3 linked regions of the Neurospora crassa OR74A genome follow. Each later gene encodes a partner of the first gene's protein in a complex. Links are inferred from orthologs where the notes say so. Each region holds a gene or a part of one and is shown in the gene's direction. Other genes may lie near its edges.

Region 1 (11,071 bases):
GGAGTGGTCAATACCAGTTTTGAGCTATGCTTGGGTTCAAAGGACGATTCAACGACGTTGGACTTCGGCAGCATAACTATGGACTGAAAATAAGACGAGTATCAAAAAGATTCGTCATGGCCGGTTAACACGGCAGAATGTGTACTGCGCCCAGCCCTGGGCGGTAACAATCGACGTCCGTTCTCTGCCGAGAATGATGGACGCCGAGACGTGAGCGGCGAATTGTTCAAAATGGAGGCAATGACCCTAGGTTCAACTCAATACCGTGTATTCCCTTTATTCAAGTTACCTTTCTCGCGTTGAATTTCTTTCACATGTGAATGCTCACAACCCACCGGTGACATCGGCGTTCTAAACACCAGGCCGCCGAAAGATAGTGGGTCCCGCGGAGTCAAGTACCTTACCCCACAGGAAAGGAACCGACCCCTGTCCCGACGCGCGAATCCACCTGCCGCGGTCTCGGTTCGGGTCGAAAATTGTTGTCCCCGCGTTCATTCGGAGCAGTCTCGTCCCGTCTTGTTGGGGAATCCATTATCACCTACTTACCTTGTCCGTCAATCACGTTCATAGCATCAAATCATTACCTACCTTAACATCCGTCGACATCTTCCCACGTCCGCCGAACTGATCACCGAAACAACATCGACACCACACCACACACCAAACAACACCAACAATGGCTGGCTCAGCTCTCCGCAAGGGCTACCTAGTCCTTTACAATGCCGCCTCGGCCGTCGCCTGGGCCACGATCCTCGGCCGCGTCGCGTCCGTCTACTTTGCCAAGGGCGCGCCCTTTGTACCGCTGGTCGTCGATGACTTTGCTCGTGTTACGCAGACCTTTGCTGTCATGGAGATCTTCCATGCTCTTACCGGTATGCCTTGCTTGCCCGACGCTTGCCCCCACCCGGATCCCGTCTCAGTCTCCATCTCTCATCCTTGTCCCTATCTCTGTCCCCTCCTCTACCTTTTCTCTCTACTACCTGTTTAGGGAAACAAACGCTAATCGATGTTTAACACACACACAAAAAAAAACAGGCATCGTCCCCGCCCCAATTTTCACCACCGTCATGCAAGTCGCCTCGCGCCTGATGCTCGTCTGGGGTATCTCGTACCCCTTCCCGCACCTCAACAGTTCGGCCTGGTACACCTCCATGTTGACGGCCTGGTCCACCACCGAGGTGATCCGGTACAGCTACTTTGCGCTCAAGCAGGTCGACTTCATTCCTTACTGGCTGCACTGGCTGCGGTATAGCGCCTTCCTGGTGCTGTACCCAATGGGCATCAGCTCCGAGGTGGCCATGATCTTCAAGGCGCTCGTGGGTCCGGCCGATCAGCTCGCGACTTGGTACCCTTATGCGCTGGTTGCTGTGCTGTTGTCGTATATCCCTGGCTCGGTGGTGCTGTATAGCCACATGTTGAGCCAGAGGAGGAAGCAGGTTGGTGGTGGTGCTATCAAGGAGAAAAAGGAGAAGAAGAGGCAGTGAGGGGTTACAGAGTTTTAGACTACCTAGGCTGTGGTTGTTGTAAAGAGGAGGGGTTTGGCTTGGGCTGGACTGGCGTGCGACGTATGCTCACAGCCTACCCGCCCCTGCTGTTGAAATGTCGTGGTCACGGTAAATGATTTTTACAAGCCACTTGGACTGTGGATTCTGCGGCCGAGCTAATCGGGGGAATATACATAATACTTTCAAAGAGTTTCCGTGATTTAAAGATAATGATAGACGGATTATGATGGGAAAAAAACGAAATGACTTGGGCTATTAGATGGAAGGTTACGGTTATTAGGGTGCGCTTCTATGCGCGAATGACATCACCGTTACTGCTTTCATACCAGTCGTTCCGCAACCACTTAACAATCATATCTCTAGCATCATGCGCCATCTTGGTATAGCCAGGGTTGTCCTTCAGGTCGAACATGGCTATGAATAGTGTCAGTACTCGCTTCACGTATGTATAAAGACCTCGCTCCAACAGATTGGGAGGGGTGCACTTACAGATATGTGCCGTTACTTCGTCCTTAGCCTTATCGTTGATGGCCTCCCTCCAGTCCCCAGCGGGATCCTTTTTAGGCAGGACGCAAAATGTCCGTTCATTGCCCATCACAGTCCCGACCATGCTCACTTCCTTTGACCCCGCGGCCCGTCCCAACCGGGTATAAAAGTTTCCGAAACCGACCCCAAGGTCATTGTTGAGCCGCACCATGTACGCCACACGGCGCCGCAGCTCTTCTCTTCTATAAAGCACCCCGACAAACTCGAGATGCGACGTCGCCCAGCTCACGCTTTGCGTAATCTGATCTCGATTGTAGTACGCCGCCGCTCCTCCAGCCGCTGCAGCAGCCGCTGCGCCCGCGACCATGGCGATCTTGCCCCAGTTCCCCCAGGGGCTGCCATTATTCCTCTGCTGCTCCTCCTTCTTTTCCGGCGCCGGCAGAGCGGCCATCTGTCTTTTCTGCGTTGTTGCGTTCGATTGCACCTGCGCCCCCTTCGCTCCGAGTAAACTTGTCAAGCTGCTCAGTTGCGACAGCGCCGCCGAAGCCGTCGCATAGTGACCCTCGACGCCATGAGCGAAGACGGCAGGAGCGATGCCTAGATAGGGTGTATCGAAGCCGAGGACGCCCTGGATATAGGGAAACATGAGCGAGCTGGGGCTGGGTGGTCGATGGAGAGGCGCGGAGTCGGCGGTGCGATGGTCCAGCTTCGGGTCCTCGACGGCCGGGTCGGTGCTGCCGTGGATAGGCTTGTCGGAGGAGAGCTCGATGGCGGTTTCGGCGGCGACGATGCCGCCCATGGAGTGGCCGACTAGAACGACGCGGACCGAGGGATCTATGGTGGGCGATGAGGTTCCGGCGGCAACTTCGAGGTCGATGACTTTATTCATGAGCCTGTGATAGCGAGGGCGACCCATGTTAGGGATGGTTCGGGGCTTCAAGCATGTGACAGATGAAGGAACGGATGCGGTCGATGAGCACATACCAATCTCGAAATCGCGCTACGCACTCGCCCAAGTCCCCTCGAGTCTCATATTTGGGATATACCACGACGTTGACGTTTATCTTGGGTAGGTCGGCCGCGACAAGTTGGCGGAGGTGCTCGGTGAAGGCATAGTTGTCGCCAAAGGTCGACTCACCTCCCTTTGCATGACAATGTCAGTTTGATCTTGGCTGGCGCGTCGCTTAATCTCATTGTACATACCTTGAAGCCGTGGATGAAGCAGAGAAGTAATGTCTTTTTCATCCTTCCCCATTGAGACTAAGCAAAGTGGAAGTGGTGCAAAATGGATGTAGTGTAGGGGAGGCCGAGAGAATCCAGATGCGACACCCATGTAAACTTTCAACGTTGCCCCGGCTGTTACGGTGATCCTCCATCTAGCGGCAGCGTCATGTGCAGGGGCCTGCAGGGCCAGTGTGGGGGCGGGGCCGCGCTATGGAAGGGACCTCCCAGGGGAACTCCAGTGGATGATGCATGGACACCTGGTCCGGTCTTGCCCTTGCTTGCCGCTTGGGGCCAGATCCCATCTTCCACAGGGGCCGCGGCAGCTTTGAAATGTCATCTGTTCTCCAAATCCATACTTCTACTCTATCGTCATTTGACCTTCACTCCGATGGTACGTACCTAGCATTAGACCAAAGTTGAATTGGTACTTACAGCCGATATAATAGAATACGTCCCTGAATATTAGACCGATGTTTACTGCAAAAATGGAACTGATTCTGCCAACTCACCTGTCCCCATGGCGTTACTCGAATGTACTGTAAGATGCCCAGAAGTGGACAGACGGACATCCTACGCCTACCTACCTAGGTACTTGAAGGAACAGGTCGGGTTGTCTGGGGAAGACCTTCTTCTACCTGAAATGCGGCAGTCCAGCGGCCTTTGCAATGTGACGATTGAGCTTTTCAGAGCTTGACTCCCTGAATTGTCGGAACCAAGACACCAAAACCTAAGCCAACATGATACCCGTCTTATTATGGTGGGGGTACCAAAGTACTTGAATTTCAGTGGAGATTAGGTATCCCCGTGCGGGTCCCAGGATACTCGTCAGAGGTTTACGGGTGATTCCTGCAGGTTGCATTTCAAGTTGCAGTGTCCAGCGTCTCTGAAATAACAGGACATTGCTTCGCGCCAATCATGCTGCCAGACTTGTGGTGAGTGGGAGTCCGTGCTCAACACCCAGGCTGAACCGAGACGCGCCGAGTCGGCGACGTGCTTTTTGTCTTCTGCGACAACCTACCTAACGCAGCCCCTTCATCCATCCCCATCGATCACCCTGTCTGGTTTCGGCTTCTCCGACTGCCCCAGGGTCGATATCAGAATCAATCAGCTATCCGGTATCACCATCTTTCGAATCAACAAAAAGCACAGCATATCATGACCTGAGCGTTCTTTGCCTTACGTGGAGCTGCTTGGTTCCTTCTGTTCAATCCCATCATAGACTTCTATTTTCGCCCGTCAGCGTTCTCTCACTGCGCCTGCGCTCCTCTCTTTTGCGCGCGCGATCCAGTTTTCCTCTTGTCGCGACCAGCGTCATCGATCAGTCCTGCACGACATATTTCGTCTTCGATACTCTTAGCGGCGCATCCAGCACGCTTCCTCGTCCCACCGCGCTTCGTGCCACCATGTCGAACCCCGAACAAACCTTGGGCGTAACGCCTCCTATCTCGACCACGCTACCTACCGACGCCGAGAAACGACAGACCGAGGCCCTTCTCAAAGAGCTGCGCGCGCAGGGCACCTTCGAAAGTCAGGCCGAAACTGATAAGCGATGGGCGGTGCTCGCAGATCTCCAGCGCATTACTGATGAATTCGTGAAGAGGGCCGCGCAGGAAAAGGAGCCGCACAATGCCATTTTGATTCGCGACGCTCGAGGCAGAATATTCACATATGGCAGTTTTCGCTTGGGTGTGTATGGGCCAGGATCCGATATCGATACCCTCGTCGTTGTACCCAAGTACGTCACCGTCAAGCAATACTTCGACATCTTTCCCAACCTTCTTGTCGAAATGGCTCCCCCTGGCGCCATCACCGACCTGACTCCAGTACCCGAGGCCTTCGTTCCTATCATCAAGTTCGAGTATTCGGGCATCAGCATAGATCTTATCTTCTGTTCAATCCAGAGCCTTCGTCAACTTCCTGACGACAAGGACTGGAATTTGAACAGTAACAACCTCCTGCGCGGCTTGTCCGAAAACGAGGTGCGCTCGCTCAACGGAACACGCGTAACCGACGAGATCCTTGCGCTGGTTCCCGAAGAGAAGACGTTCAAGCTGGCACTTCGTGCAATCAAGCTCTGGGCTCAGAGAAGGGCTATCTACGCCAATATCATGGGTTATCCTGGTGGTGTGGCTTGGGCTATGCTGGTCGCCAGAGTATGCCAACTCTATCCGAAGGCGACGAGTGCTGTCATCGTCAGGAAATTCTTCACTATTATGCTCAACTGGCCATGGCCGCTCCCGGTTCTTCTGAAGAATATCGAATACAACCAGTCCATTACGCGTGTAGCGGTGTGGAATCCCAAGGTAAGTCAACCCCTCATCATTGTCGCGCTGATGTCTCACCACAGACTAGATATACCCGAGTGATCGCAATCACAAGATGCCCATCATCACCCCATCATACCCTTCCATGTGCGCGACACACAATGTTGGAAGGTCTTCAATGGCGGTCATTCAACAGGAGCTGGAACGGGGGGTGCAGATTTCCGAAGAGATCATGTTGGGTAAAAGGCCTTGGAAAGATTTGTTCGAGAAACACACCTTTTTCACCAACGGCTTCAAGTTTTACCTGACGGTCATCTCATCCGGCAGGACCAAAGAGGCGCAGAATACCTGGTCGGGCTTCGTCGAGTCAAGAGTGCGTGTTCTGGTCCAGAAGCTTGAGCTGCACCCTTCCATCGCCCTTGCCCGCCCCTTCAACAAAGGTTACGACAGAGTGCACCGATGCAAGACGGATGCTCAGGTCGAAGAGATTCAAACCGGAAATCTCACATACATGGTCAAGCCGACGGATATAGCCGCGAATGGGAGCGCCAAGAACGACAGCAAGGTTGAGGTCAAGGCGGAGATCAAGACGGAGGATGGTGTTGCACGGGAGCCGACTGTGCCGGCTGTCAAGGAAGAACCGAACGACGTGGTACATCTAGGAACGGTACCTCTAAAGCCTGAGGACAACTCTGTAAAGCCTGAGGCCAACGACTACGACGAAGACAAGGTTAAGCTGGAGGATATACCGGAGAAGGAGCCGGAGCTTGAGATTTACACCACTAACCATTACATCGGCCTGCAGCTGGTAGAGGGAGCTAAGTCTCTGGATCTGTCCAGAGAAGTCGACGACTTCAAGGCAATGTGCACCTCGAACGACATCTTCAAAGCAGAGTTGATGGGATTGACTATCCAGCACGTTAGGAATTTCGATCTCCCCGACGACGTTTTCGAGCCTGGAGAGACGAAGCCTGTTAGGCCAGTCAAGAAGAAGAAGCGTATGGCCGAAGGGGAACATGCGAACGGCCCGATGGCCAAGCGACAACAGATGGCGACCGCGCCACCGACCATTAAGAGCGAACACTGATCGAAGGATGTACAGACAGATTTTGTTGGCGGTCACGGACAAATTAGTTGCTATGTGCGAGCAGTACCACGCGCGAGGTGTAGAGAAATGTATCTAAGATAGAGTTGCTAAATCTGCTAGACTAATAAATTTAGTTTTTCGGGGCACAAGTGCCCCATCAACTAAGCCAAGTTTCCATCTCGCAGTGGTCTTTGCGTCCGTGACTTTTCATCTCACTTCTTGCTCTATTATACATCATCTTAACAAATTCTTTGCTGCGTCGATTGCTTCTGCTAATGAATTGAGCTGTTAGTTCCGTTGTACTCGGGGGAAAACGCCATATGCGCCTCAGTATGTCAACGTCAAAATGCCAGCAGCCAATCAAAGCTTGCACGTTCGCCCCCGTAGATCGTCGGTCGCATGTCCTACAAATAGATACACAGTAACACCTGTCTCGAGATCCTCAACCCAACATCTCACTGAGGATTCTATCTTGTCTCAAGTACTTTGGCCGTGTAAACCCGCTCGAAGTACCTCGGGTATCACCCTCGAGGACCCCAAAAGCCACTTGCTTCTTCCATCCGCTATGCCGCGATGATGCACCAGGAATTAAAACCTGGGCGCTCGCCGCTCTTCTCTGCGCCAGTTCCTCGGAGTCTTCCTCATCTTCCCTCACCGACAGTGGCAGCGGCATCCACGCCCTCATCCTCACCACGGCGCTTCAAGCGCTTTCGCGGCCTACTACCCACAACCTCCTACCGCGCGATCCTCAGCTCCGTATGCATCATGGCCGTCCTCTTCTGGGTCCTTCACCTCCTCTTCTTCTCCCTCCTTACAGACCTCACCACTGGCAACCCATTAACAACCTCTCCTTCCCCATCACAACCTGGAGAAGAAGAAGACTCCTTCTCCTCAGTAGCCGACCTGGCCCTCCAAAAGATTCTCGGTGACGGCCGCCAAATCTTCGGCACCTTCCCTTCCTCCTTCAACAAGTCCGCAGCCTCCAAGCGTCGCGCACAATGGATGACCCCTCTCCCGGACTCCCTGCCGCTCACCCGCCTCAGAGCCATTCCGGGAACCCACGACAGCGCAACCTGGAACTTTACTACTGAGACGAGGAACTCGATCCCTTCTAATCCGAGCTACTTGCCGGCTGAATGGTTTAGGTGTCAGAAGAAGAGTATTTTGGAATCGTTGGAGGCGGGGGTGCGGTTCTTTGATTTGCGGTATGCTGCGTTGGATACAGGTACGGGTGGGAGTGGGAAAGGGGGAGGAGGACAAGGGACGAGACTGGTGTTTTGGCATAAGATGGCTTTGTTGAGTGAGGTGGCGACGGTGGAGGATGTTTTGTTTGGGTTTTATAGTTGGTTGGAGGGGAGGGGAGCGGGGGAGGTGGTGATGGTTAGTTTGCAGTATGAGGTGAGTTTCTTCTCTTTACTTTTCATTTTATTTCTTTCCTTTCTTTCTTTCGTTTACACATTTTCATGCCCTGGTTTTGGGTTTCATCTGGGGTGGGTATAACTGGTTTGGGTTATATGTAAACAAAAGGGGTCATCATCACCGTCCATTAAGTTACCGCCTCTCCCGCTCCCTTCGCTAACAGACTAACAGCACCCAACCCGCTCCCACGCCTCCAACACCCCACAAGTCCAACGCCTCCTTCATTCCCTCCTTACAACCCCGGCCGCCCGCCGCTTCATCTACCCGTCACACTCCCTCCCGCCCACTTTGGGAGACGCCCGTGGCAAGATCGTCCTCCTCAAACGCTTCGACCTGCCCGACTTGCCTCTCGATCAACAGCTGGCTGTACCGGGACTCAACTTTTCTCCTAGCCTATGGCCGGAGAACAATAGAGGCTTTGAGTTGGTTTATAACCAACTTGACTTGGGTGTGGTAGAGGGGGAAAAGAGGAATGAGACGGCGTATATAGAGGACTACTTTGAACCTAACGACCTGCCGAGTGGGATGAATGGAAGTGTAACGGAGAATGTGATGGCTAAGTGGGAGGCTGTGGAGGGCCATTTACGGGCTGCGAGCGGTCCCGGGGCAGGACTGGGTGCACGCGGGGAGGATGATGAGGATGATGGGTTGTGGATCACGTTCACCTCGGGGGAACATGTATTGAATGAACCGAACATTACGCCGGAGGTTATGGCGCTTGGTCCGGAAGAACAACGGCAAGGTGTCCCCAAGGTGACTGGCGGTGGAACGGTGAAAGGAGGAGTTAACGAAAAGTTGTTGGCGTTGCTGAGGGATGATGGGCCGGACGGGTTAAAGGGGAAGAGGTTGGGAGTTGTGGTGATGGATTTCTGGGAGATGGAAGGGGAGGGGGATTTGATTGGGGCGTTGTTGGGTTTGGATGGTTAGATACCCAGGTAGTGAAATGTCTGGTGTAAAGGCGGAAGGACCTCGGGGAGTAATCGTCTTGTCTGCTTCACGCTTGAACACGTTGTTGATTGCTGCGTCGACCGATCAATCGTCATCTCCATCATCACTTCCACTCGACCACCCCTCATGATATTCATCAGCCATCTCCGCCAGCTCGTTTCCAAGCTGTTCCCTATCCTCCAATCCAATCGACCGACCAACCGTAGTCCTCAACGACTTCAGCCTCTTATGCACTGAAGCATCCGTAGACAGACTGCTAGTGACATTGATCGCTCCTCCTCTCTTCAGTGGCTCACCACTGTCATCCCTGAAGATCTGAGGGAAGCTGTCTAGAAGAGGGAAGCGAAGGGGTGTGTGATAACTGCATGAGAGGGACTTTGTTAGCAAAAGATGACGAGAAAAAAAAAAGTAAAAAGGAAAAAAAAAAAAGAAAAGAAAAAAACACAGAAAACGTACCTTTTCATAACAGTCTCGTACGAGCTCCTCCTGCGGAACCTCTCGTCCTCCTCAGCCTCCTTGGCTTCCTGCACCTGCTCATCAATCTCATAACCTCTCGAGGTAAGCATCTGGCTGAACACCCTCGGTCTGTCATCATCGCCGCCACCACGGCGACGGACATAGTCCAACTGATCGGTGGGAGTAAAGTTAATATCGAGAAACACTCCCTCCGGGTTCTCCTTCACCATCACAGCCGCATGTCTACTCGACTTCTGGTTCAGCAACTGCCTCTGCCTGAAATCCTGCGTCCCTTCCATGACTACATCTTCCTCCTCCGTCGGCTCTGGAGCAAAGCTCATCCCCAAGCTAGCCACATTCTGCTTCCCCATCGCATTGAGCGAATCAGCCAGCGTAGCCATCGTATCCCTGTTCGCCGGATCCCTCAGCCGCGACGGAAGCGTGACGCTCTCTATCGCCGCCGCCGACAGCGCAGTATTATGCCACTGCGAGCCCGCATCCAGCACCACACTCCCCGGCAGCGTCGCAGGCACCGTAAACGGCACGACAACGCTCGCATACTTATACACCTCCGTCATTGTCCTTGCCTTATTCGCCAGTCTCAGCAGTCTCTTCTCCCTGCTCAATCCGCCAGCCCTCATCACCGACTCCTGCTCGCTGCCCCAAACGAACATGGCCGTCTTGCCGTACTCGTCTCTTATCCTCTCCAAGTATTTTGCCGCAAATCCGCCCCAGGCATCGTCCAAGCCTGTCATGACTTGAATCCCTTGCATCTGGTCGGCCTCTTCGATAAAAGGCCGCAGGTCCCGATCGAGAAGGTCATGTTCCTTGTCCAGCGACGCAAACAGATCCTCGCCCGTCGCGTAGCGCTCAAACGGCATGATGGATGAGTTGAGTTCGTACTCGTTCAGCTGAACGACGGAGCGCGGGTGGTAGAAGACCCGGTTGAAATCAGACCAGTAGCGGACGGTGTCCGTGGTGAGGGGAGGGGGCTCGAGGCCGGCGTCGAGGGATTGTTGATAGGCGGATTGTGGGATGGCGGGCTGTTTTTGGAGTACGGTTGGTCCATTCCTGTGGCGAGAAAGGAGGGGAGGTGAGTCAGGAGGTAGACGAAAGGGAGGATGGGTTTGAACGCTGGAAGGATGTCGATCGAAAATGACGGAATCTGGTGCAAGATGTCCACCAGACCGAGATTGATGCCCAACTTACCACAATGCTTGAGGCGTCTGTCCCTCCTCAAGGTCGTTATACAGCGCATTCGTCTTTGCCATGGACCCAAAGCCACCCTTCAGATCGTAAATGACGGTCCGCGGCATGTAGGTTTCGGTGCCATCCGCACCGATGCCGGGACGCCAGTGGATATCATGGTTAACGGCTGGCTCTTGATCCTCGGAATATGTAAAATATGATTCCTCGAGAAGTGTCAGCTGTTTCCCCGGTTTCAAGTGAAATCAATGAACATGCTTACCTGGGCATTCCAGAAATGCGTGGCTAGATAATTGCTCTGCTGCCCGAGCTGGAGCGTGATGATTTCATGCATTATGTCGCTGTATCAGAGAACACAGAATGTCTACATGAAATGTGCGTCTTTGTGAAACCCTTGTCTAACTTTGATGTTTTTTCGGACAAACAATGGGCTCCAAGTTGGTTGTTAAGTCCAGCTCTCAAAGTTATTTGCAAGA
Region 2 (10,872 bases), on another chromosome or scaffold:
GATTGAGCCTACGGGATGTTGAAGCGTCACTTGGAAGAACAATTTGGATGGACGATCACAAGCTTGGTAGCATCGAGATAAGCAGAATAGTGAAATAGGGTTTCCATTTGGGTTCATACCAATAAGTCAAATGCTATGCGTCTCTTTCGTGCAACGAAATTGGCTCTCAAAACTGCCATGGTCCTGTCAACCCTCTTTAATTTCCACCTTGCCTAGCGAACATCCACCGGGGTATCTTCCCTGGCTTCCAAACCATCACCTCTTAGGCATTTCCCCTCACATCTCACTTGGAATTTCCAGAAGAGCCGGAGCCAGAGCCAGAACCAGAGCCGGAGCTCGAGTACGAGTTACCACTGGGCGAGGTGTACGTGGAAGATCCACTGCCGCTGTTGTAGTAAGTGCTACCGTTCGGGTTGCTGTAGTAGTAGGATCCATTACTGTCAAGTTGTTGGCCAAATGATTAGTCGCTCCACTTCCCCAGAGAGATAGTCAAGGTCTTTCTTACGTGTTGGAGTAGTGATACGCATTGGATCCGTTGCCGTAGTCACGGGCGCAGTAGTGGTTACCCTACAGCAAGTTAGTGTCTCAGCGTTGCTAGTTGCCTCTATACTGGGCTGGAGATTGGCCAATCCGGCGGAATGAAGGAGACGTGAGCGACAGTGAAAGAGTATCTACACCATACCTGGCTGTTGGTGCCATGGCCCTTGTAGCTGTATCCGTTTCCGCTAGACATTTTAAGGAGGATGTGATTATTGATCAAGTTGGAAGAAGGGGAAGATCGAGTTATGGCTGGTTTTTCTGCAGCGTCTGCCGGTTAAGGTCAATTGAGAAATTGGTGTTCGCGATGGAGAACAAGAGGAAGAAGAGGGAGCAGAACAGAGGGAAGAAGCCCTCTTTAAATAGAGATCAGACCTCTACGCCAAGTGAGGGGAAGCACCTGACATTTCTGCGATGATCCCAGAACAGCTTCCTGCCTGTTCCAACAAACACTTGAATAACTAGTAGGTTGTTCGCATTGCGATACGACTGAAGAAAGGTGATGCCAGTCAAACAGATAACCATTTTCTTCTGTACCTAACCCACACTTGCGCGGGAGGCCCGCATGGCTTTCAACGCTAAATTTTTATCCCATCCACATAGCCCGGGGCGCTAGTCAGACCGTCGATTTGTAGACCTGACGAGTACACGAGTTAATGTTAGGATCGATAGAAGTCTCTTGAGCTTGACGGCTGTTCCTCCTTCGTGTGACAATTTGATGTAAGAGAATCACATTATGATCCGTGACTTCCTCGTTAAGGCTGTTAACTTTTAAGTGCTTCCGTGGGTAGGGGGTCATAGCTCCACAAGGCCAACGAGACCAATCCTTGTTCGCTGGTGTTTTGGTATAAACACTACATATACGAACTGCCCGGGTGCGGCAAAAACCGACATCTCTCTTATATTCCATGGCACATCTAAAATTTCAAGCATTCAAAATTGCCGGCCATACTCTGGGTATCATTCCTGTATTTTCAGAACCAACTTTTTAAGCGAAACGCTGTCTATCCAAGAAATCAACTCTAGAGGTTGCCCTGTACGGCGCTGGTGTCGCGGTGTTCGGCGGGGGTTTCCTCGTGCTCCGACAAAAACTTCTCGGCATCGAGGGCAGCCATGCAGCCGGTACCTATGCATAACAGATTAGCAACTCTTCCAAACCAGGTTCACGGGAGGCAATGGGTTACGTACCGGCACTGGTGATAGCCTGTCTGTACCTCTTATCCTGAACATCACCAGCAGCAAAGACACCCTCAACGCTGGTAAGGGTAGTGCCAGGCTTGGTGACAACATAGCCATCGGCGTCAGTCTCAAGCTGGCCCTTGACGAGGGCGGTAGCAGGATCGTGACCGATGGCATAGAAAAGACCGTTGGCCTCAAGAGTCTCCTCCTTGCCAGTGGTAACATCCTTGACGACCAGGTGGCTCATGAGACCCTTGTCGTCACCCTTGACCTCGACACCGACGGTGTTGAACCTGACAGTGACCTTCTCGTGGTTCAACAACCTATGGGCCATGATGCTGCTGGCCCTCAACTTGTCCTTGCGAACCAACACGGTAACGTGGCTGCCATACTTGGTGAGGTACATGGCCTCCTCAGCAGCGGAGTCGCCACCACCAATGACAACGAGGTGCTTGTTGCGGAAAATAGGAACGGCACCATCGCAAACGGCGCAGGCAGAGATACCGTTCTGCCAGTACTTCTCCTCTCCGGGGAGATGAAGTCTGCGGGCAGAGGCGCCGGTGGCCAGGATGATGGAGTCGGCAGTGTGGTACTCCTCGGGGGACCACTCGGTAGCGTACTTGAAGGGGCGCGCAGAGAGGTCGACCTTGGCAACGGTCTCGCTGATAATTTGGGTGCCGAAACGCTCAGACTGAGCCTTCATCTTGTCCATCAGCTCCTGGCCCATGATGCCATCGGGGAAACCGGGAAAGTTCTCGATCTCGGTCGTGGTGGTGAGCTGGCCACCGGCGGCGATACCATTGGCCATGAAGCCCTCGTAGAGTACAGCTGTACAAAGGGCGAGGAATTGTTAGCGAATTGGTCCTTGTAACCTGACGTCGACAATCGCAATGGCATTGAAACTCACGCTTCAGCTCGGCGCGGGCCAGGTAGATGGCGGCAGTGTGGGCGGCCGGCCCAGAGCCGATGATGACTACTTTGCTGTGCATGTTTCTTTTTGTGACGGCCTGAAGTTCGGCAGGTTGAACCGGAGTGTTTTTCTTGAAGGCGGTTGCGGCAGCAGCGACTGTGAGACCAGATGCGCTGGATCGGAGAGTTCTTCTAAAGGTTGAGGAGAACAGTTTGGCGGTTGGTGGGGTTTTCGAATGGGAAACGGATCTAACAAGAGACAAGATACAAGTGGCGGAAACAGAGCCGGGGATGGTCACTGGATGGAGAATAAGAATCTACGGGAAAGGGAAGGTAACGATTTGATAATCTCTAGATTTCTTTCTCTCCCAATCTGCGATCTTGTCAGACAGTCCAGGCGATGCCAGATCAGGCGCGTTGTTCCGGCGCCATTTTTCAAATCGAGTCGCGATTTCTAATCCCGTATCTAGACCCCGGCTGCCTCAAAAAACGGCCTGGATTTCCATGCTTGGGGGCGAACTCGGAAGGATGGACGCCGTCCATTCGAGGAAACGTCCCTAACGGACCGCCCAGGGTCCAGGGCCATGCCCCTCTGACGTGCTCACCAAAATTCCCACTTAAATACCCACTGCATCCAGCGGGGTCGTTCCGCCTTTTAGAGGCTCCTCGGTTGCAGCTCTATGCAGTCACCGAGGCAGCCAGTCCGCGGGTTGCAGCCGAGGCCCAAAGCAAAAAACAAAGGTCACAATGTGGGTTAGGGTTATCGGTGAAGGTATTTCAATTTCCATCAGATGCCGACGGAGATTTTGTGGTCAACGACACTCGACACGGCACCGGAACCTAGTGAAGCTATCCATAAAATTTACAACCTGCTTTTCCCTTCCTGCTGCGGGACCTGAACTACCACCTTCCCCCAGGTCTCACGACCCCCCAAAGCGATCAATGCATCCGGAATTTTTTCGAGACCGACGAACTCCTTGTCGCTGAACACAGTCGGTTTGAACTTGCCTTCGGCAATCAACTTCATGATGCCCTGCCACACGGTCACCACCGTCTCCTTCTCATGGACAGCGTATTGGCCCCAGTGAACACCGACGAGGCTGATGTTCTTGAGAAGAACCTTGTTCATGGCCACCTTCTCGATCTTGCCGGCAGCGAAACCGACAATCAGGATGCGGCCATTCCACGCAGTACATTTGGTGCTCAGATCTACCAGGCCGACAGGATCGTAGACAATGTCAACACCCTTGCCTTTAGGGGTCAACTTCTTCACCATCTCGGGCCACTTGGGGTCCGTGTAGTCGACGACATGATCAGCGCCAAAGGACTTGGCGACTTCGAGCTTGTGCTTGGTTCCGGCCGTAGCAATGACAGTTGCTCCAAACGCCTTTGCAACTATGTGTGGGATTAGCAACGAAGTAGTTCATCTTCGAGACGGGTATGTATGCCACTAACCTTGGACTGCGGCAAGACCTACACCACCGGCCGCAGCGTGAACAAGGACGAAGTCGCCCTTCTTGACGCCGGCCCGAACAACAAGGGCTCCATAGCTGGTTGGTGCCGTCACAAAGAGGCCGGCAGCATCCACAAGCGACCAGCCTTCGGGAGCTGGGAGGAGGGCCGTCTCCTTGGCTTTGACTTTGGTAGCGTACGCACCCTGGCTAGCTCCAAACACACGTGAACCGACGGGGAACTTGGGGTCCTTGAGGCCGGAAGGGGTGGCGAGAACCACGCCGGCGAACTCGGCACCTGATACCCAGGGGAATGCTAAGACGCAACGTCAGCATACTGAATGCAATGTAAGCGGGACTCAATAAAGAAGCCGCACGTGGTTGATTCTGGTATTTGCCCTGAATCTGAAGAATGTCGAAAAAGTTGGTTGCCGCAGCATGAACTTCAATCAAGTACTCATCTGAAGTAGGTGTAGGGTCTGGAAGCTCCGTGACCCTGAGCTCTTGCGGGCTCTGAGTTAAGGGCTAATGTTAGAACCACGAAATGGGAAGATGTCCTGGATGATCGAGATAGGACATACCTTAACATACTGTGCCACCTGAATGCCTCTCATCTGGGAAGGATACCTGGAGTAATAGAGTGCTTTGTTACACTGGAAAGAAGCAGACGCAGAAACACCGAGTGAGATACACAAGCAGTGAAAGAATGACAACCTATATGATTAAACAAGGGTACAATATGGTTGAACAAATGCCGAATAGCCATCGCGGGGGTGACCGCTAGCCCAGTGTAAGGGAAGCCGAGGTAGCCCAGACCGGGATAGCTGATCTCTGATTGGTCACTCACCTTGCATCTCTCGGTGAGTCCACGTCTTATCGATTTCCAACAATCGATTTGCGACTTGTTGCACTCTTTCTCTCCAAACTCTCAACCACACCTTGCTTCAATTTTTTGAATGGCGCAACCTGCTGTGCGAACTTCTCCCGACCAAAGCCGAATTTGAAACTGGGCAAACGCAGCAAAGAATACGACTCTTGGTTAAGCGTGCATAAACACAAGCCACGCGCATTCTCTAGGCAAGATTCATTACGACTGGTCGCCCAGCTACATACCTCTCCGAACCGATCGTGAACCGCTCGCGACAAAACAAGCCTACCCACCTTGAAGCCCGAATCGCACCGGCGAACCACCTTTTTCCCCCCCTCACACATCCGCCGAGATGGCGACAACAACACAGACAACAACAAACTCCCTCCCCTCTGGGGCAGGAGGACCGCAACAACTCGTCACTCAGATGCTCAACCACACCGCGCCACACTATACCTTCTCCTTCACGCCCTTCCTCCAGCGCACGTACCAGCACTCTCTCCCCGCCGACCGACCCATCTGCAAAGCCTACGCCTCAGGCAACTGCCCCCTCAAATCCCACTGCCCCGAGCGCCACGTTACCGCGTCGTCCCAAAACACCCATGGCGGCGGTAACACCTTCAGCGGCGGCTTCGGCTCGCTAGTCTGCAAGCATTGGCTGCGCGGCCTCTGCAAAAAGGGCGAATCGTGCGAGTTCCTGCACGAGTACAACCTGCGCAAGATGCCCGAGTGCAATTTCTTCGTCAGGAACGGGTACTGCAGCAACGGGGACGAGTGTCTGTATCTGCACATTGATCCGCTGTCGAGATTGCCGCCGTGCCCGCATTACGAGAGGGGGTTCTGTCCGCTGGGACCGCGATGTGACAAGAAGCATTTCCGGAGGAAGCTGTGTTTGTATTACCTGGCGGGCTTCTGTCCGGATGGGAAGGGCTGCAAGGAGGGCGCGCATCCGAGGTGGACGGCGGATAAGGATATGGAGAAGCCGAGGGCGAAGGGGGAGGGAGATCAGATGCTGCTGCAGCAGCAACAGCAGCAGCAACAACAACAACACATGGGCGATGCTAATGGTATGGGTGGTGGAATGGCGCAGGCGACGGGCGCGAATGAGTATATGGACCGAGAGAGGGAGCGCGATCGGGATAACAGGGAGAGGGAGATGATGATGCAGGGACGCGATAGGGACGGTGGCGGGCATGATCGCCATAAGGATCGCTTTGGAGGCGGAGGAGGAGGAGGAGGAGGAGGCAGAGGCCGAGGAGGATGGAGGGGAAGAGGAAGGGGAGGATTTAGGGGTAAAGGTCATTAAGAGAACATTGGTCCCAAAGCGGCCAGGGGAGGTCAAATGGTACATGAACATAGCGACATATTTAGGCTAGTGCTCGGACGATGAGAAGGCCCAGGAATCCGGTAGTAAAGACCAGGTATGCATCACGGAATAAGGAATAGGTCACGGCGCAAAGGCAAGGTTATATCTAGTGTATTAGCTGTAGGTCAGGTTTACATTCACAGGGTTTGTGAGATTCTTATAAAAATTGCTAGCTTGACAGTTTTGAGGAGCTGTGATCTGTATGTTCTTCCAAAATAGACTGAGAGGGACGAGATCCCAAAACATGAACGCCGCTCCCTACCTAGGACACCCGTAACCAAATGATAATCAACCCACCGTCTGAGATGCTATGGCATATGCCATTCTTGTCGACACTGCCTTCTTTTGTACTCTTCCAAACTATTCCCATGAAGACTTTACTCCATCGGCACCGCAACAAACAACTCATTCGATGTGCGGGCCCCAGTCCCCACCTCCTCCTCATCCCCATTCTCGCTTCCCATAGACCTCACCGAGCCACCCGACCTTGGGCTATTAAACGAGCTATGACTCGACTGCCACGCCGCCAGCTCGTCCACCGTCCGGATACCCATCATCCACGCCACCAGCCCGCGCGGCACCCAGCGTCCGACAAACCCATACACGCTCGCGCCGAGGCCGACGCGCACAGTGCCCTTGGTAATGGACCCGTCAATCACGTCAAAAACAGCATTATGCAGCTCCCGCAACGAGCTGCCGCGCATCCCGCGGATGCGGCCCGTGCTAATGGCCGAGCTCGACTGGGTGACAAAATTCTTGCCGTAGGCGTGGCGGGCCGAGTCGGGCCAGGGCAGCAGGGACTCGGCGTCCTGGGGGTTCGCTTCCAGCGCGCGCAGCGGGACGCCCTGAGAGTTCCGCTCCTGCCAGTGTTCACGCGCGGCCGAGGCGGGCGTGAAGCCAGCGAAGTCAAAGGTACCGAGCTGGATGTGGGTGACAGGGATGGCGAGCGGGCGGAGCTCGGCGGTCAGGACTTCGGTGAATGCGGAGAGGGCGGAGCACACGGTTGCTTCGGGGGCGTGGAAGGGGGGGTTGATGGAGGAAATGATGGAGGGCGTGCAGACGATGATTTTGGGGCTGTCTTTCTTCTTGTCGCTTCCAGAGGATGATGACTCGGCCGAGGGAGTAGGACCCAGGCGAGCGGTAAGCAGAGGAAGGAAGGCCTGGAGGGTTATGATAGGGTGGAGTAGGTGTGTGTTGAAGAGGTTCGCGAAGCCTGAGGGAGGAATGGTAGCGATGGGCGAGGTCTGGTAGTTCAAAGAGGGAATGAGGATGACGGCCTTGAGGTGCAACCGATGTCGCTTGCTGTTGGGGACTGCCGCATGGGGTGACTGAAGGTAGGTCGCGAAACGCTCAATGGAGGCGCTGGCGCTGAGAGGATCGGTGGTGTCGACGCCCAACGGTCGGATATCGGGGCGTGCTAGATTCTGAATGGCAATATCATCCTCCGGTCCGCTGGATACAATAAAGACGATGAAGCCTTTCCTTTCCAGATCCAGCGCAACTGATCGTGTCAAAGGTAGGTTGGCAGATCCCGCAATGACAACGACATCCATGCGTCCTCCGCTGCGCGCCCGCCTTGCGCGCCTGGTCTTCCTGGCGTGAGCCGAGACTGTGTATGACCGATATAGAATGGATCCGGTGGCTAGGACTATGGCGGTGGTAAGGACTTTGTTTCTTAATACCCAGCTCTCAACTCTATTGTAGAGCGAAATCGGCAGCTCGGCTGAAGGCGCTGGTGGCGGCAGCCGAGGGCGGATCTGTTCTGGTACCCATTGCGAGGTCGCGAGAGTGTGTCTGACGGTCTCGGCAATCTTGTCGACGTTCTCGTTCACGATGTTGGCGACATCTTCAGAGTAGCGCTTGATATCGCCGGGCAGGGACGATAACTATAACCGAACCAGGCCATTGTTAGTGGAGTTCTATGCGGGCACTTTGTATGTTTTCTTACCACGTCCAGAAAAGCCTGGTCGTCCGCAGACATGTTGTTTCAATTATGCGTTTGCTCAAGTCCTGTGAGGTGGCGACAGTGTGATGGTCGACAAGCTCAGTGAACAAGGAGGCGCGGATTGGTAAGTTGGCAGAGTCGAGTGTCGCAGTATATGAATTGCGCCGGACTTGACAGTGCCTCAATAGGAATGATGATGGGGAGAAGCTTTCTTTTATCGCTTCTATCCAACCCTTGCGCACCTTATCAAGCCGAGCTACTGCATAGGTGATGCGCCCTGAGCTAACAAGGTACCCCAGCCTTTACCCCGGCGAGGGGACTCTCCACCACCAACGTCATTCCTGTGACACGCTGAAAAGCACACGCTTTTATAACGCTTTTAAGAATGAGAAATTTGATGACCTATCCGTCTAGCCTAGACCTATCACCAAATCAACATCTCACAAAAGAAGCTTCAACACGTCTTTAGATCTGACCCTAACATCCAAATAGCCCTAAAATCTGACCTCACAACTTCCTAGCAAGCACCCTCAACCTTACATAACTATACATGTACCCTCCCCCCGGCTTAGCGCATACAACCTCCAGCACATCCACCACCTCCTTGACCACCTCCTCCCTCTCCTCCTCGCTCTCCAGTGCCTGCAAAAACTGAGCAGCCATCAATCTCACCCATCCCTCCACGCCACCCACATCGGAATTTGTAGGCCTCCATTCTCTCTCTACCTTTTCCACCTTCCATCCTCCTACTTTCTCCTCCATCATCTGCCTCACCCACTCCTCGTCGGGGAAAAACCAGGGGTCCACCTCCTGTGCCCGCTTCAAACCGACTCTCCTGCCGACAGCGGCCAGTAGCGTGGCCCGGATCTCCGACACGTTGCCTAGTCCGCCCATCTCAAAGGCAAAGACGCCCCCCGGGGCAAGCACGTCGCGGACGCCCTGGAAGAAGACTTCTCGCTTTTCTTCGGGACGCAGGATCCAGTGGAGGGCGGCGTTGGAGAAGGCTTTGCTGAAGCGGACGTAGTGCAGGTGGGTTTTGGTGATGAGTTCGGTTGCGTCGAGAACTACGACAATGTGTTGGAGGGAGAGTGAGTCATACACTTTACGGTAGGAACAGGACAGGACAGTCACATCACTTACCCTCAAACGTGCAGGTGCTTTTCAGATGCGCATTATCCGATGTCTTCTTTTGCGCAGCCTGAATCATGGCCCTGGAGCTGTCCACGCCGTGCAAGCGTCCTCGGCCTCCCTCAAAGACCTGGGCGATCTCGAAATCAAGAACGCCATCTGGAAAGGAAAGTTTTTATCACTTGTCAGTGACGCCTTGTTCGCGAGCGTCATTTTTCCCGGGACGGGGCCAAAACTCACCACCACAACCGATGTCCAGAATCACATCGTCTTTCTGGGGATCAAGCCATTGGACAATCTTCGTGGCCAGCTTGGGGACGAAGGAGGCGGCGGATTGATATGCCTGCGTGTTTCTTGACGGGTCAGCCATCCATTCACATTCAAGCAGAAAGAAATCGGAAAGAGGAAAGAACTGTGGTCATTCAGTGACTGGTCCATTGCTTACCTCTGAGGACCAGTTGTCCTTGTTCTGCTGGGTCGCCATTGTTAAGTGATGGGGGTTGTCGATGTTGGTTTAGAGAAGAAAAGGGGAGAGGGAAAGCCGAACAGTTCAAGTGGAAACGGCCAGAGCTTTATACCCGACTAATTGGTCTCATATCATCTCAACCCCACGTACTGTTGGCTGGAGAGATACTACCATAGACCAAAATTGGATGAGAGACGAGGCAACGAGACAGGGTGAAAGGGGTCCGATGTCGGCGACTACCCTCACATCTCTACCTCTACGAATGGAACTAGGCTGCGAGTGGGAAATTGCATGGGAGGAACGTTCCCTTGTCTCAAATCAGAAGGTCAAGCCGAAGATGAATCTCGGAAACACTGGTACAAGTCTAGGTGGACAAAGGTCTTATCTGCTGAAACTGCTAACAGTTTACACCCGTCAAATCGGGTTGGAAATCATCAAGTCAACTCCCGTCCTGTAAGGCTCCTCTGACTTCCAACACTATTGTGGTCAAACTATACGCTGATCATACCATAGCCAATTCAATTTAGGTATAAAGACAATCAAGGATTATGGATAGGCTCTCTCTAGACCCGGGTCCACCCGACCGCCGACAGGTACTCCTACGCACTAGATCTCATCTTTTGGCCTTTAAAGGCGACGTATGTGTTCCTTTTCCCGGGCTTCCTAATCCACCACGTTATTCAACAACTCTGGGTCAAACAACTTGTACCTGTCCTCTCTAAGCGCGTTCTCAACTCTCTTCATTACCGCCAGGACCTTCTCTTCTTCTAAACGGCGGCCAATAATCTGCACACCGACTGGAAGTCCATGCATGCGCTCGGCGTCATAGTGTCTGTACGCTCTGGTTGCGATACCGTTCAGCCTCTTATGGTCAAAGGTGCTCGGGAGCTTATCGAGCGCACTATCGACATGCGTGACGGGGATGATGCCGGCTGTGTAGTCGAGCTGATGAGAAAAGAGTGTTTGTGTCAGTGAGGCTCTCCGTTTGGGAAGGTAAGACACTCGTGGAAGAACACACCAAGT
Region 3 (10,596 bases), on another chromosome or scaffold:
ACGGAAAATAACAGGAAGAAGAAGAATGCAAACTCCCAACGAAAGCGCAAAGAGAGCGAGAACAGGAATGATGGATGAGTATGCAAGAAAGTGGACGTCATTAAGTCGCAATGTTCCGTTCTACATCGCTCCCTGATAAAGTATGCTCATGTCAGTAGCCTGAGTCTCCCTATCGTCCATTACATGGGGATTATTCGATCATTATCACCGCTCCCTCTCCAGCCTTATACTCCCTTCGCTTTAAATGACTGAGCCCGCTTTCAGCCTCAGTTTTCAGCAGGACATTGCGTCGTGTCGCATATAGCAATCATCATCACCACCACCCCTGCACATTCCACCTTCATCACCTGTCCGCTTCCGCTGCCGCTTCCCCTGTCTTTTGTGGCTTGAGATCCATCGCGACCTCCGGCTCAGCCTCTTCGCTGATACTCTGGTTTTCTATTGCAGCTTCTTTCGCTGTCTTTTCCAGCCTCGCGCCAAGCAAGGTCTGCAACGTCCCTTGCTCACTACCCCTCCTCTCGTTTCTGCCGACAGTGTCCTGACTGCCGCGGCGCATCAAACCGGCATCATGAAATAAGTTCGTGGGCGTGTTCGCTTGACTGCCACCCCGTTGTCCATGATAGTGGACGACCTGCGGTGGAGCTTGGCCAGCCTGTGTTCCCAAAAGGTGTTGCGGATAGGGATCGAGGTCCTTGCTTGACGTTGAGAAGGTTGATACGACCGGCTGATGGTACTTGTAATCGGACCCAGAGTGGCTGTGTCCATACCCATTGGTATTGGAGCTTGAGATTGGTGTCGAGTGGGTATTGTTGCTGTTGCTGCTGTTATTATTATTGTTGTTGTTGCTGCTGTTGTTATTGTTGTTGCCATTCACACCAGACCCGCCACCACTGTTGGAGCTTAGGCTTTGTGTGGGAGTGTGGCCAAAAGATCCGCCAGAGGTAGCAGCAGTGTGTTCCGCCTGAGTCGGTGTTCCAGCTTCCACCGGGCTAACAGGGCTTTCGCTAAGCTGGCCGGTGAGGCTGTTCATACCTCCTTCGATATCGCGTAGCAGCCGCACATATTCCTCTGGTACAAGTCCGCTCTCTTGCGTTTTCGGGTCTTCCGCAACCAACCAGCCCTGTCCGTGTCGATACGACACCCAGATGATTTGACCCTCAACCAAAGGCAACTCGTTCTCGTCTTCCCGCTGGAAGTCGTACAGCGCCACGGCCTTACCGTGCATCTCCTCATCGGGAGAGGTAATTGTAAACTGGTAATCACGCGAATAACGCGATTCGTCCGTCTCGTGATAGCCACCAGGGCTGGAGTCGTCCAAGTCGGATGGGTAATCGTCTTCGTACTGGCGTGGCTGTTGGTCGGCAACTTGGTATGCGCTGTGGCGTGCCTGATCGGCCGGATACGTCACGTACTCGCCGCCCGGCCCGTTAGCCTCGCCTCCCTGGTTCACGTAGTAGCGCTCGCTGCCATCCCCACTGGTGCCAACGTAGTAACCCCTCTCCCGGTCGTAGTTGCTCGGGTTCATGACCGAACCACCGCCGCTCCTTCCCGCACCATAGCCACTGCCGCCACTGCCGCCAGCTGACTTGTTCTTCTTGTGTCGCGAACTGACCACAGGGCTCTGAAGATCTTCATCCTCGCTCCACGGAGGACCATCGGCGAACTGCATCGCGGGGAGATCGTTCGCCCGTCCCCAGCCGTCGCTGCTCCATGAGTTCTCCCAGCTGTGGCGATCCCAAGATGTCGGAGGGTCAGATAGGCGCCGTTGCTCGCTGGCTGGGGTAGTCATGCCTGAGGGTGGCCGCGAAGGTTCCGGTGGGGGTCCATAGTGCATAGGATGACCCACGGGGTAGGCGAAGTCTCGCACCAGCGTGTACGGCAGACTGGATGGATAGATGGGGAACAGTTGAGAGGGCGGCCGGGAGCGTGAGGGAATCGAGCTCACAGTCGAGTACTGCGACAGGCGGTTCTTGGACGCGTGCGACATTGGCCGCGGTAGCGCGCTCCTGCGAGCGGGCGGCGAGGTCATGAGCGGAGGAAGTGGGGGATGAGCGGCTGAGGTCGAGGCCGAGGTGTCGATGGCGGGCGGAGAGGTCGCTGGAGACGAGGCTGGCGATATGATCGCCGTCATGGTCGAGGCAAAGGAAAAAAGATAGGGGGTTAGCAAAGCCTATAGCCTAGCAGTGCCTGGCGTGCCTGGAATGCGCCGCCCGGACAATCAATTGTTGTTGTGGATCCTTTCCAGGGCGCCGGACCGTCGCTGCCGTGGGAACCAGGGTGTTTTTTTGGCCAGGGTTCAAGTCTGGTTAGAAGACCGAGTACCTCTAGGCAGCGAAGGGAAGGGCTGACCAGCCTGTGGTGGACGGGCGGAAATGCTTTGCCTTGTGCTGTCGAGGCGGGGAATACGTGTGGTTTTTGAGGTCCGTCCGTGTATCGTAGATTCGTAGGGCTAGGGAGACGGTAAACTTATAGCGCCCAATTGTGTAGATGAGGCATGTAGCTGTGTGGACCACGGACATCGATTTGCAAATGTTTGATGCTTGCAAAGCGGCCACAACTACCAACGGCTTGTTCAACGGTTCGCTTGTCCGTCGTCTGAAGTCTCGGAAATGTAAGGGCTCTGGATTCTGAGTGTTTCGGTTTTAGGCCGAATTCGTTAAGGGATCCCGTGTGAGGGACGCAATGTAGAAAAGATAGTGGTGAAAGTGTGCGAAGGGGCACACTGGGGTAGCAAGGTGGGCAATTGTCAGCTTAAAGAGCTTGTATAGACATGGAGAGGCCTTGTGTGGTCGGCAAGCTGAGATGAGCGATTGCGAGCTGTCAATATAGACAGGGTATGGTGGGAACGGAGGGGGATTCGAAGAAAAGAGGAGAAGAAAAAGAGGCAGAATCTCAGGCAGGAACAGGTAGGTAGATTTGGGGGGGGGGGTGCCGCATCAAGTTACTACCTCTACTTACGACGGGATACCTCTAGTACAACTTGGACAAAGTTAAGCGCGCTGCCGCAGGTTTACTCCAGGTTTAGGCCTGCTCCTCTCATTGGCAAATAGCAACCGCTGGTCACCTGCAATCAATCAGTCGAACCTCTGAGGACGGGACTCGGTCGCCTTGGACCAACATACCTAACCTCTTTGCTTATCCTGTTAGTGTCGACCTAGACGATGGCTGGCAAATTTTTGGGTAACGAATCGGGGTTAGGTATGGGGGGCTCAAAAAGTCCACTTCAGAGGACAGCTCTCGTTGACAAAGGCGGGCAACTTGCAGGACACACTGCAGTTTCTGTGTGTCAACCACGGAGATTAAAACTTGAATTTGATTTTACGCCCAAAATACCTCTACGTTCTAACACATATCGAAACAGGATATACCACGCGGGTAATACTGCCATTTGCAAATGTACTTTCTACGTGTGCCTCTATTGTTGGTTAACATGTTCCAACGAAGAAAAACTTCGCACGAAACTCTCAACTTCCCGTCCCAACAGGGATGTTTATCACTGCATGTTTGTGTCCACCATTGGATGTTCTCGATGCCTTCGATGTGGGTGATTGGCTCCGTGAATGCGTCCCGAACAGCAACGTGGTACCCATGGAATTTCCCAAGGCACTAGCTATGAGTTGCGCATTCCCTGTGTGGGACCTTTTAAGAAAAGTTATTGAAAAGGTAAGTTCCAATGTTCTGTGCACGATATTCTACAGTGCATCGATACGCATGGTGACCGAGGCTCGAGGCCCGTGAGGTTTGGGTCCTGGGAGAAAAAAAAAATACCTGGGGATCGTCTCACTGTGATTCTGCAGTGCATATCCGCGGACCGCTGCAGACTCGAGAGGTGGGGGAAGTTGACGAGAACGGAAAGAAGGGCAACGGGCTGCAAGACGCACGAGCCACCCACCATTTCACTCTGAAACACTGAAACGTTCTAATTTTGGAAAGCGGTCAGATGGGGCACTATGTGCGTATGACCACCACTTGTCCCTCGCAGTCGGTAACCAAACAGATTTGTTCCAAATTCCACATCCCACTTTTCACCGTCCAAAATCTCCGCGCCAGCAGCAACTGGTGAACAGGTTTGGACATCAACGACATTTAACAAGTTATATATGTGTGGTAGCAGGCTACCTCGACTAACTTAATCATCATCTGTCTGCGCTTTGCGCTCAGCTGAAGCTTGAAAGGTAATTCCTGCGCTCTTTTCCGCTCTCCCTTTATCAACCGTCTCTTTCCTTTATGATGATCTTTTTATTGGAGCTGTCTGTAGCCTGCTATGTCTGGCGTTTGATGACAAACTTTTACATACGCTTTTTTTATCTGATGTGTACCGAGGACAACCTACACTTTTGCACTTGCCATGTCTGTATCGCAGAAGGGAACGCATTGATAACTAACATTGGCATCTTGCGCTTTCTAGGTCTTTCCAGTCAAGCATGCCACATCTGCCACAGTAACAAGTTACCTGCAACTGCCGGCTATGTCTGCTGTAGATACCCCAACTGGTGCCGCGAGCTCATCGAAGCCGGACCAGAATGAGCAGAATGGTCAAAACGGTGGGCGTGAAGACTCTGGCGGCTTCAAGCTAAAGTTTTGCACCGTCTGCGCCAGTAACCAGAATCGGTGAGCAATTTTACGCATCGCATCGTCACGCAACTGGATGACCCCGTCTAACCCTCACCAGCTCCATGGAAGGTCACTTGCGACTCTCTCTTGCAAATTATCCCGTGATTTCGTTTGGTACAGGCTCTCTTGTCCGTCTCCCCGGGCCGTCCATTACACAGCCCAATGTCTACAAGTTCAACGAAACATCATACGATAGTATATATCGGGAGTTGGAAGCCAAAGACCCTCGCTTATATCGCGCAAATGGACTGCTAAACATGCTTGGGAGAAACCGCCAAGTCAAGTGGGGCCCTGAGCGATGGCAGGACTGGCAGATTGGAATGCCTAGAACCAAGCACAAGGATGACAAGGGAGCTGATGGCATGGAGGGCGGCGTAGCTGATGTTGTCATCACCTGTGAGGAACGCTGTTGGGATGCTGTGATTGAAGATCTTCTCAACCGTGGCTCGCCACTTAACAGGCCTGTTCACGTCATCAACATCGATATCAAGGATAACCATGAAGAGGCATCCGTGGGAGGGCGAGCCATTGTCGATTTGGCAGACTCACTCAACAAGATTGCTGCCGAGGAGCGGGAGAAGGTTGGCGCTTCTGCCTTTGACTCGGGAAGCGTAGGCGCCAGATCAGGATTCGATGAGCGCGTACCGGACGTCCTGGCCGAGTGGCAGGAGAGATGGCCGAATCTTCCTGCGACATGGACTTTGGCTTGGTTCTAAGCATTGAATTGGCGTATTGTTTGAGCTCGTGCATCGTAAGGCGTTGGATGTTCTTTTTATTGCCTGGCGGGCGTAATCGCGGTTACGGACAGGGTGGGGGGTACATCTTTTTGGGTTCATGATTGATGACCAAACAACACAGACGAACAAGACGTTTTGGCCGTCACAACATAATGCTGATTTGGACTCGTAATCTCTATCAACAAGCCGTTGTTATCCGGGATTTATGAATTCTGCTGCTGCCATGATTGGCTTCAACTTGCTATTTTGTGAGGTCGCACCCCTCCTGGTTTTCTCAGAATATGTCGACCTCCGTGATTTGGCAGGCCATTTCCTCTTCCACCAGCCAGACCGCCAATTAAGCATTTTGTTTGTTACGCATATGCTTACTTCTATCACAAACATAATAATATCGCATGCATACATGCTCGGAGATGGGAGCTCATCGGCCCACCTGACGAGTACCCTGCATGGTATCCCAAAAAGCATTTTAAGATGACGAGCCGCACGGTTCATTATACGCAACATTGGATGCAAAGAAAACATAGCAGAATTTTGGAGATCTTCCTTGCTTATTGGGATCTGGGGTACTCAACGGTTGCCAGCATCTAGAAAATATCGAAACATGCACAACCGGGCAACCGGCCGTGCCCCCGCAGTGAGCAGGCCTACTTGTGACAATGCAACTAAACGCGCGAAGGTCAAAAATGAAATACATGGGGCTGTGGTGGCCATTGGACACACACTTGGAAGACGAAGACCATTAAGGTTACTGCTAATGCATGTTGTCACTACCTATCATGTTGGGGTGTTGGGCGGGAGTGCCCGAGGTCGAGGTGGCATTTGATGTGATGCGGGTATGCCTACATACCCATGTGGATAAATCTCAATATCTATATCGTCGGTCTCAAGTAAGAATTGCATTGTATTTCGGCAGACGATTGCCGGTCTTGGGCTGTTTCACAACGAGACGTTTTAGTGGAATGATAAACCACTGCAGCGGCGCAGAGTCGATCACCGTTGACTAACATGAGAGACCTGCCATAGTAGAAATGCGAAGGGGGCTTGAAGTTGGCGATCCCGTCAGAGATGAAGACGCATTCTGAGGCCAGGATACCATGTGAGAAAGGGGCTCGAAAGAGGAAGTTGTCGGGGTGTCTCACAAGACTATTTAAATTGCTCCCATGGGGAAAAGGGAACAACAGCTGCTCGGTCGCCTACTAAGTGCCAGGCCGAGATTGATATCAGGCTTTTGTTCCCACTTCCCACTGTACGTCGACGGCCGGGGCTAGGGCCCAGGAAGCCCGACATCGAGATGCGAATATGAGGGGATTCGAGGCCGACAAGGAATGGATCTGGGTCCAGTTCCCTCTCCATTTAGACCATGGTGGCTCGGTTCCTTTGTCCCAGTCCCGGTCCCGGTCCTTTCGGAATCCCCTCTAATAGCTGCGTACATATGTGGTTGTTATGGTTTTGGTAGGGCAGTGCTTCTTATCCAACAATGCCCGGCACTTTGCTTCTTTGTGCGACCGCATATATAATCTCAAACCTCAGTGTTGTACATAGAAGAAGTCTAACGACAGTCCGTGGTAATGTGGAAAGTGGTGGAGTGCTGACCGTCCATCGTGTTCACTGCCGTCAGACACCGATGAGCCAACTCCTATCGTCCCCGTAACGACATGACGTCCCGAGATGTGCAAGATACCACTCCTTACCTATCGTTGGTGTTTGACTTTGGTTCTGGAAATGACTCTCCGCGCTCTCCCACCCCACACTAGTTGTAATTACGTAGAGGCATGCACTGGCAGCCCAAGCACCTTTGTGGAAGCTAAGGTAATTGCGCCGGCTTCCATTGTCTGTGGGAATCCGTACCTGCCGTAGCGCGCGACTAATAGGAAGGGAACTCACCCCTGACGCCGGCAGTGATGGGTCAAGTATACCAGGGATTGGTTCTGATTGGCTGAACGGTCACACCATTTCCAGTGTGGTCAGAGCCCCCGGGCGCTCTCACTCAAACCATTCACTGTGCCTCCTACTGTTCCTCGGAGAACATCGTCCACTGTACATATTGGGGCCTTGAATGATCAGGGGCTCTGCTGGATTCGATCCTGGATAAGTCGTGGTGGGCTCTTCGTGGGTTCCTCATTTCCAACTGAATCCATTGCGCGCCCGGAACACAGTAGAGGAGCCGTTCTCCCAAGAATCGTGGTCACCTCGCTACCCGGCATCGTGAGGAACTGGCCAGCGAAAGGTGAAAAGAGAATGAGCACCGTATGGCGAGCGAGCAACAATCCCGTCCTGGTCTCTCGTTTTCTCCCGTCCTGCCACTGCACCAATTCCGCCATCAACCGTCTGGATCTGGACGCCATCTACCTACATACCCTACCCGGCGCTACGTCCCTTCGCCTGTCTTAGAGCTGCTCTGATTTGAGTGGCACTAACAAGCAAAGACGCCGTCCACTCGCTCGCTGTCCACACTTTCGGTACACCCCCCCGCCAAGCCGAACGTTAACCTTGAGGGCTACCTCTATTACCACCCAAAAGATCGCCACGATCCATCATCCAAAGAAGGGGCATCTGAAAACACCGCTACGAGTCAAGCCGTCGACCAGTCCATTCTTTCTGAGGCGAAACCTCTCCCATCATTCCAACTCCTGGCTTTCGATCGGCAACTGGAACAGCCACTCTGTTTGGCGACATCGCGCAGGGCATCGCATAAGTGTAGTGTACCACCCCCCCTGTTCATGATCCCGCTCCCTTTGTCCCCCTTCCCTTTCGCGCCTCCAAAAGGGGAATTCAAAGGTTGACCGATATGCGTTTCATGCTCCCACAGTAACACAAAGTCCTGCCACGAGGAACACCCGCGAGACCCTTCTGCTGTCGAGGGCGCACAGCATATGCTCGATTTGTCTCAACACCAGCTCTGCGACAGTCCGCGTCTTTTGGGAGCCTGTACCTCTACTTGCTGAGACCGCGAAGTATCCACGAACCGGCTACCTTCGCCTTTACTAGGGACACACACGGGTTGACGACAAGACAATTGCATCAAGCCTCCATTGTCATTTGCGCACCACGTCCATCTTTCCTATTGCGTCCGACTGGTCGATTGGAAGCGGGCGGTGAACGAATACCATGAATGTTCGCAATGCACCATTGTCACCAATCTCTCAAGGCGCCCCAAGCGACTGGAACCATCCACCGAACGACAACAATCTCGGACAATACAATACTCCTCCCGACTCCGCGAACCCTGCCGGCGCTATGAACGGCGGCTTCTCCCCGATGCCTCAGAGCCCGAATGGGGCACCCTCTCCTCCACCGTCCGTTGGCCGATCCAGCACCGGCATGTATGCGAGGAGTGTAAAGAGCCAGAGTCAACAAGGGGAAAACCAGGAGTTGGTTCTGTCCGACCACTACATCTCGCTCAAGCGCTATCTGTCAGCCACCTCACGCGACGGCAATCCGAAACCGCCGCCGAACAAGGCCCGCGACAAGCTGCAACGCCTTACTGAGGTGCAGTTTCTTGAGCTCAGTACCGATGTTTATGATGAATTGAAGCGCCGCGAACAGGTGGCCCGAAGAGGACCTAATGCTCCCCCCGAGACTGCCCCGCCCGATTTTCTTCTGCCTCAGGATAATTTCCATCCTAAACGGAACCAGGCTCGCCAGAAACTGTCGTCCCTAGGTCCTCCTAGGTTTCGCGATCTCGCCACCGATGTCTTCTGCGAGTTGGAGAGGCGGTATCCTAACTTCGCCAATCTGGAGATGCCTCTCAATGCCAGCCCGATTGCGATGCGTGGCCCGCCAAGCCGCTCGGGAACACCAAACAACGGAATGGGCGGCTTCCCTCCCAGAGGTCAAAGTCACAGACGCCCTTCGGAGGCGAGCTCAGTACGAAGTGCACGGAGCGGTCCTCCGATGCCCCCTATGATGAATGGTGGCTACGGCGTTCCCCCATCTCCTGGCCTGCCGCCGAATGGCGACTATGGGCGTCCCATGCCAAAACAATTCCAGAGCAACACAATCGTCCCAAACAAGAGTACCATGGTCGAGGAGGACGACGAGGGCAACCTTATGAGCCCAGGTCAGGGTGGTGATATGTATGGCAATGGCAGGAGGTCTATGGGCCAGGCGTTCGAGGTCAGTTTCGCCTTTTTTTTTTTTTTTTTTTTTTTTCGCCCTCGGGGATACTGTCATGTGCTAACTCAACGTAGGCCGACAGGAAGCTTATTCAGGACTACGAAAATCAGGTCAGAGAGCTGCAGGAAAAGGTCGACAACATGGAGATGGAGATGAGGAAGAAGGACGAGGAGCTGAATAACATGCAGTCCGGGGATGGCAACAAGAAAGATTGGGACGAGACCAGGCAAAGCTTGGAGACGAAACTGGCAGAGGCCCAGGAACTGAACGACTCGTTGCAAAGGGAACTCGACCGCATCAGGGAGGAGCATGAGGACGAGACGAGAAAGCTTCGGGAAGGACTCGAGGATGGTCGACAATCAGGCGGCAAAGGAGACGGCGATCTGGCGCGAGAGAACGAGGAACTGCGACAATCTTTGCAAGAACAGCAGCAAATAACGGACGAGGTCCGTCGCGAGGCCCAGGAGTTCTTGCGGGAGATGAGGACGTTGTCTCAACAAAGCGGGGCTGCTTGGGAGAGACAAACGGAGTTGGAGAGGACGATTGAGAGTTTGGAGAAGGAAGTCAAGGAATGGAGAAGTCGATATGCACGCACCCAAACACAGTTACGCAGCATGCGTGATTCGTCAGAGGGTGTACCACTCGAGCAGAACGCCGGCAAATACGTACGGGAAAAGGGTTTTGTCGAAGACTCTGGGCTTGTGAAGGACCTTCACGTTACCAAGTTCCAGATTGCGATAGACGAGCTCCTGCAGCGCGCTCGCAACGATAACCCCGAGCGCGTAATTGACTCTATGAAAGCAGTCGTAGTCAGTGTCCGTCGTATCGCTAAGGATATCGACGAGAATCCACAAAACGACAGCATTCTCCAAGAGAAGGCCAAGCTAAAGGCTCGGGTATCATCGACTGCCAACAACCTGATCACCGCATCCAAGAACTTTGCCAGCTCCGCGGGCATCTCTCCTGTATCTCTGCTTGATGCAGCTGCATCTCACTTGGTTGCAGCAGTCATCGAGCTGCTCCGCGCCGCCAAGATCCGCACCACGCCTGCCGGTGAATTGGAAGAGGAGGATGATGGGACAGTAACTCCCGTCGGCTCAGCCAGCTTCTTTTCTCCGCGCAACGG

Evidence for each region.
Region 2: un-17 (region 1) and NCU08353 share a complex: the UniProt entries of both Saccharomyces cerevisiae proteins name them as parts of the cleavage and polyadenylation factor (CPF) complex. The link is inferred for Neurospora crassa OR74A from reciprocal best matches to the Saccharomyces cerevisiae genes PAP1 and YTH1.
Region 3: un-17 (region 1) and NCU03114 share a complex: the UniProt entries of both Saccharomyces cerevisiae proteins name them as parts of the cleavage and polyadenylation factor (CPF) complex. The link is inferred for Neurospora crassa OR74A from reciprocal best matches to the Saccharomyces cerevisiae genes PAP1 and SSU72.

Annotation. Positions count from the first base shown.
Region 1 is NC_026503.1:4,126,849-4,137,919, reverse strand, and holds un-17 (Poly(A) polymerase), read left to right. Parts: upstream 1-4,058; 5' UTR 4,059-4,618; coding exon 4,619-5,518; intron 5,519-5,567; coding exon 5,568-6,566; 3' UTR 6,567-6,789; downstream 6,790-11,071. Other genes in the region: NCU08985 (protein tyrosine phosphatase), read left to right, coding at 677-872, 1,036-1,484; NCU08984 (hypothetical protein), read right to left, coding at 1,795-1,919, 1,995-2,884, 2,976-3,133, 3,195-3,236; NCU08982 (hypothetical protein), read left to right, coding at 7,140-7,964, 8,157-8,912; NCU08981 (dml-1), read right to left, coding at 9,018-9,294, 9,390-10,460, 10,599-10,801, 10,858-10,929. UniProt on the Saccharomyces cerevisiae protein: Polymerase component of the cleavage and polyadenylation factor (CPF) complex, which plays a key role in polyadenylation-dependent pre-mRNA 3'-end formation and cooperates with cleavage factors including the CFIA complex and NAB4/CFIB.
Region 2 is NC_026501.1:5,650,223-5,661,094, reverse strand, and holds NCU08353 (mRNA 3'-end-processing protein yth-1), read left to right. Parts: upstream 1-4,976; 5' UTR 4,977-5,296; coding exon 5,297-6,250; 3' UTR 6,251-6,487; downstream 6,488-10,872. Other genes in the region: NCU08351 (hypothetical protein), read right to left, coding at 284-437, 506-567, 683-733; cys-9 (thioredoxin-disulfide reductase), read right to left, coding at 1,560-1,663, 1,726-2,544, 2,624-2,705; NCU11325 (alcohol dehydrogenase), read right to left, coding at 3,488-4,020, 4,081-4,392, 4,454-4,589, 4,658-4,690; NCU08354 (hypothetical protein), read right to left, coding at 6,688-8,196, 8,259-8,291; NCU08355 (hypothetical protein), read right to left, coding at 8,763-9,319, 9,396-9,542, 9,624-9,726, 9,829-9,867; NCU08356 (acetamidase), read right to left, coding at 10,513-10,794, 10,868-10,872. UniProt on the Saccharomyces cerevisiae protein: RNA-binding component of the cleavage and polyadenylation factor (CPF) complex, which plays a key role in polyadenylation-dependent pre-mRNA 3'-end formation and cooperates with cleavage factors including the CFIA complex and NAB4/CFIB.
Region 3 is NC_026501.1:4,601,862-4,612,457, forward strand, and holds NCU03114 (SSU72), read left to right. Parts: upstream 1-4,010; 5' UTR 4,011-4,175; intron 4,176-4,408; 5' UTR 4,409-4,468; coding exon 4,469-4,611; intron 4,612-4,672; coding exon 4,673-5,330; 3' UTR 5,331-5,761; downstream 5,762-10,596. Other genes in the region: NCU03113 (SH3 domain-containing protein), read right to left, coding at 344-2,131; spa2 (spa2-like protein, variant), read left to right, coding at 8,463-9,470, 9,545-10,596. UniProt on the Saccharomyces cerevisiae protein: Component of the cleavage and polyadenylation factor (CPF) complex, which plays a key role in polyadenylation-dependent pre-mRNA 3'-end formation and cooperates with cleavage factors including the CFIA complex and NAB4/CFIB.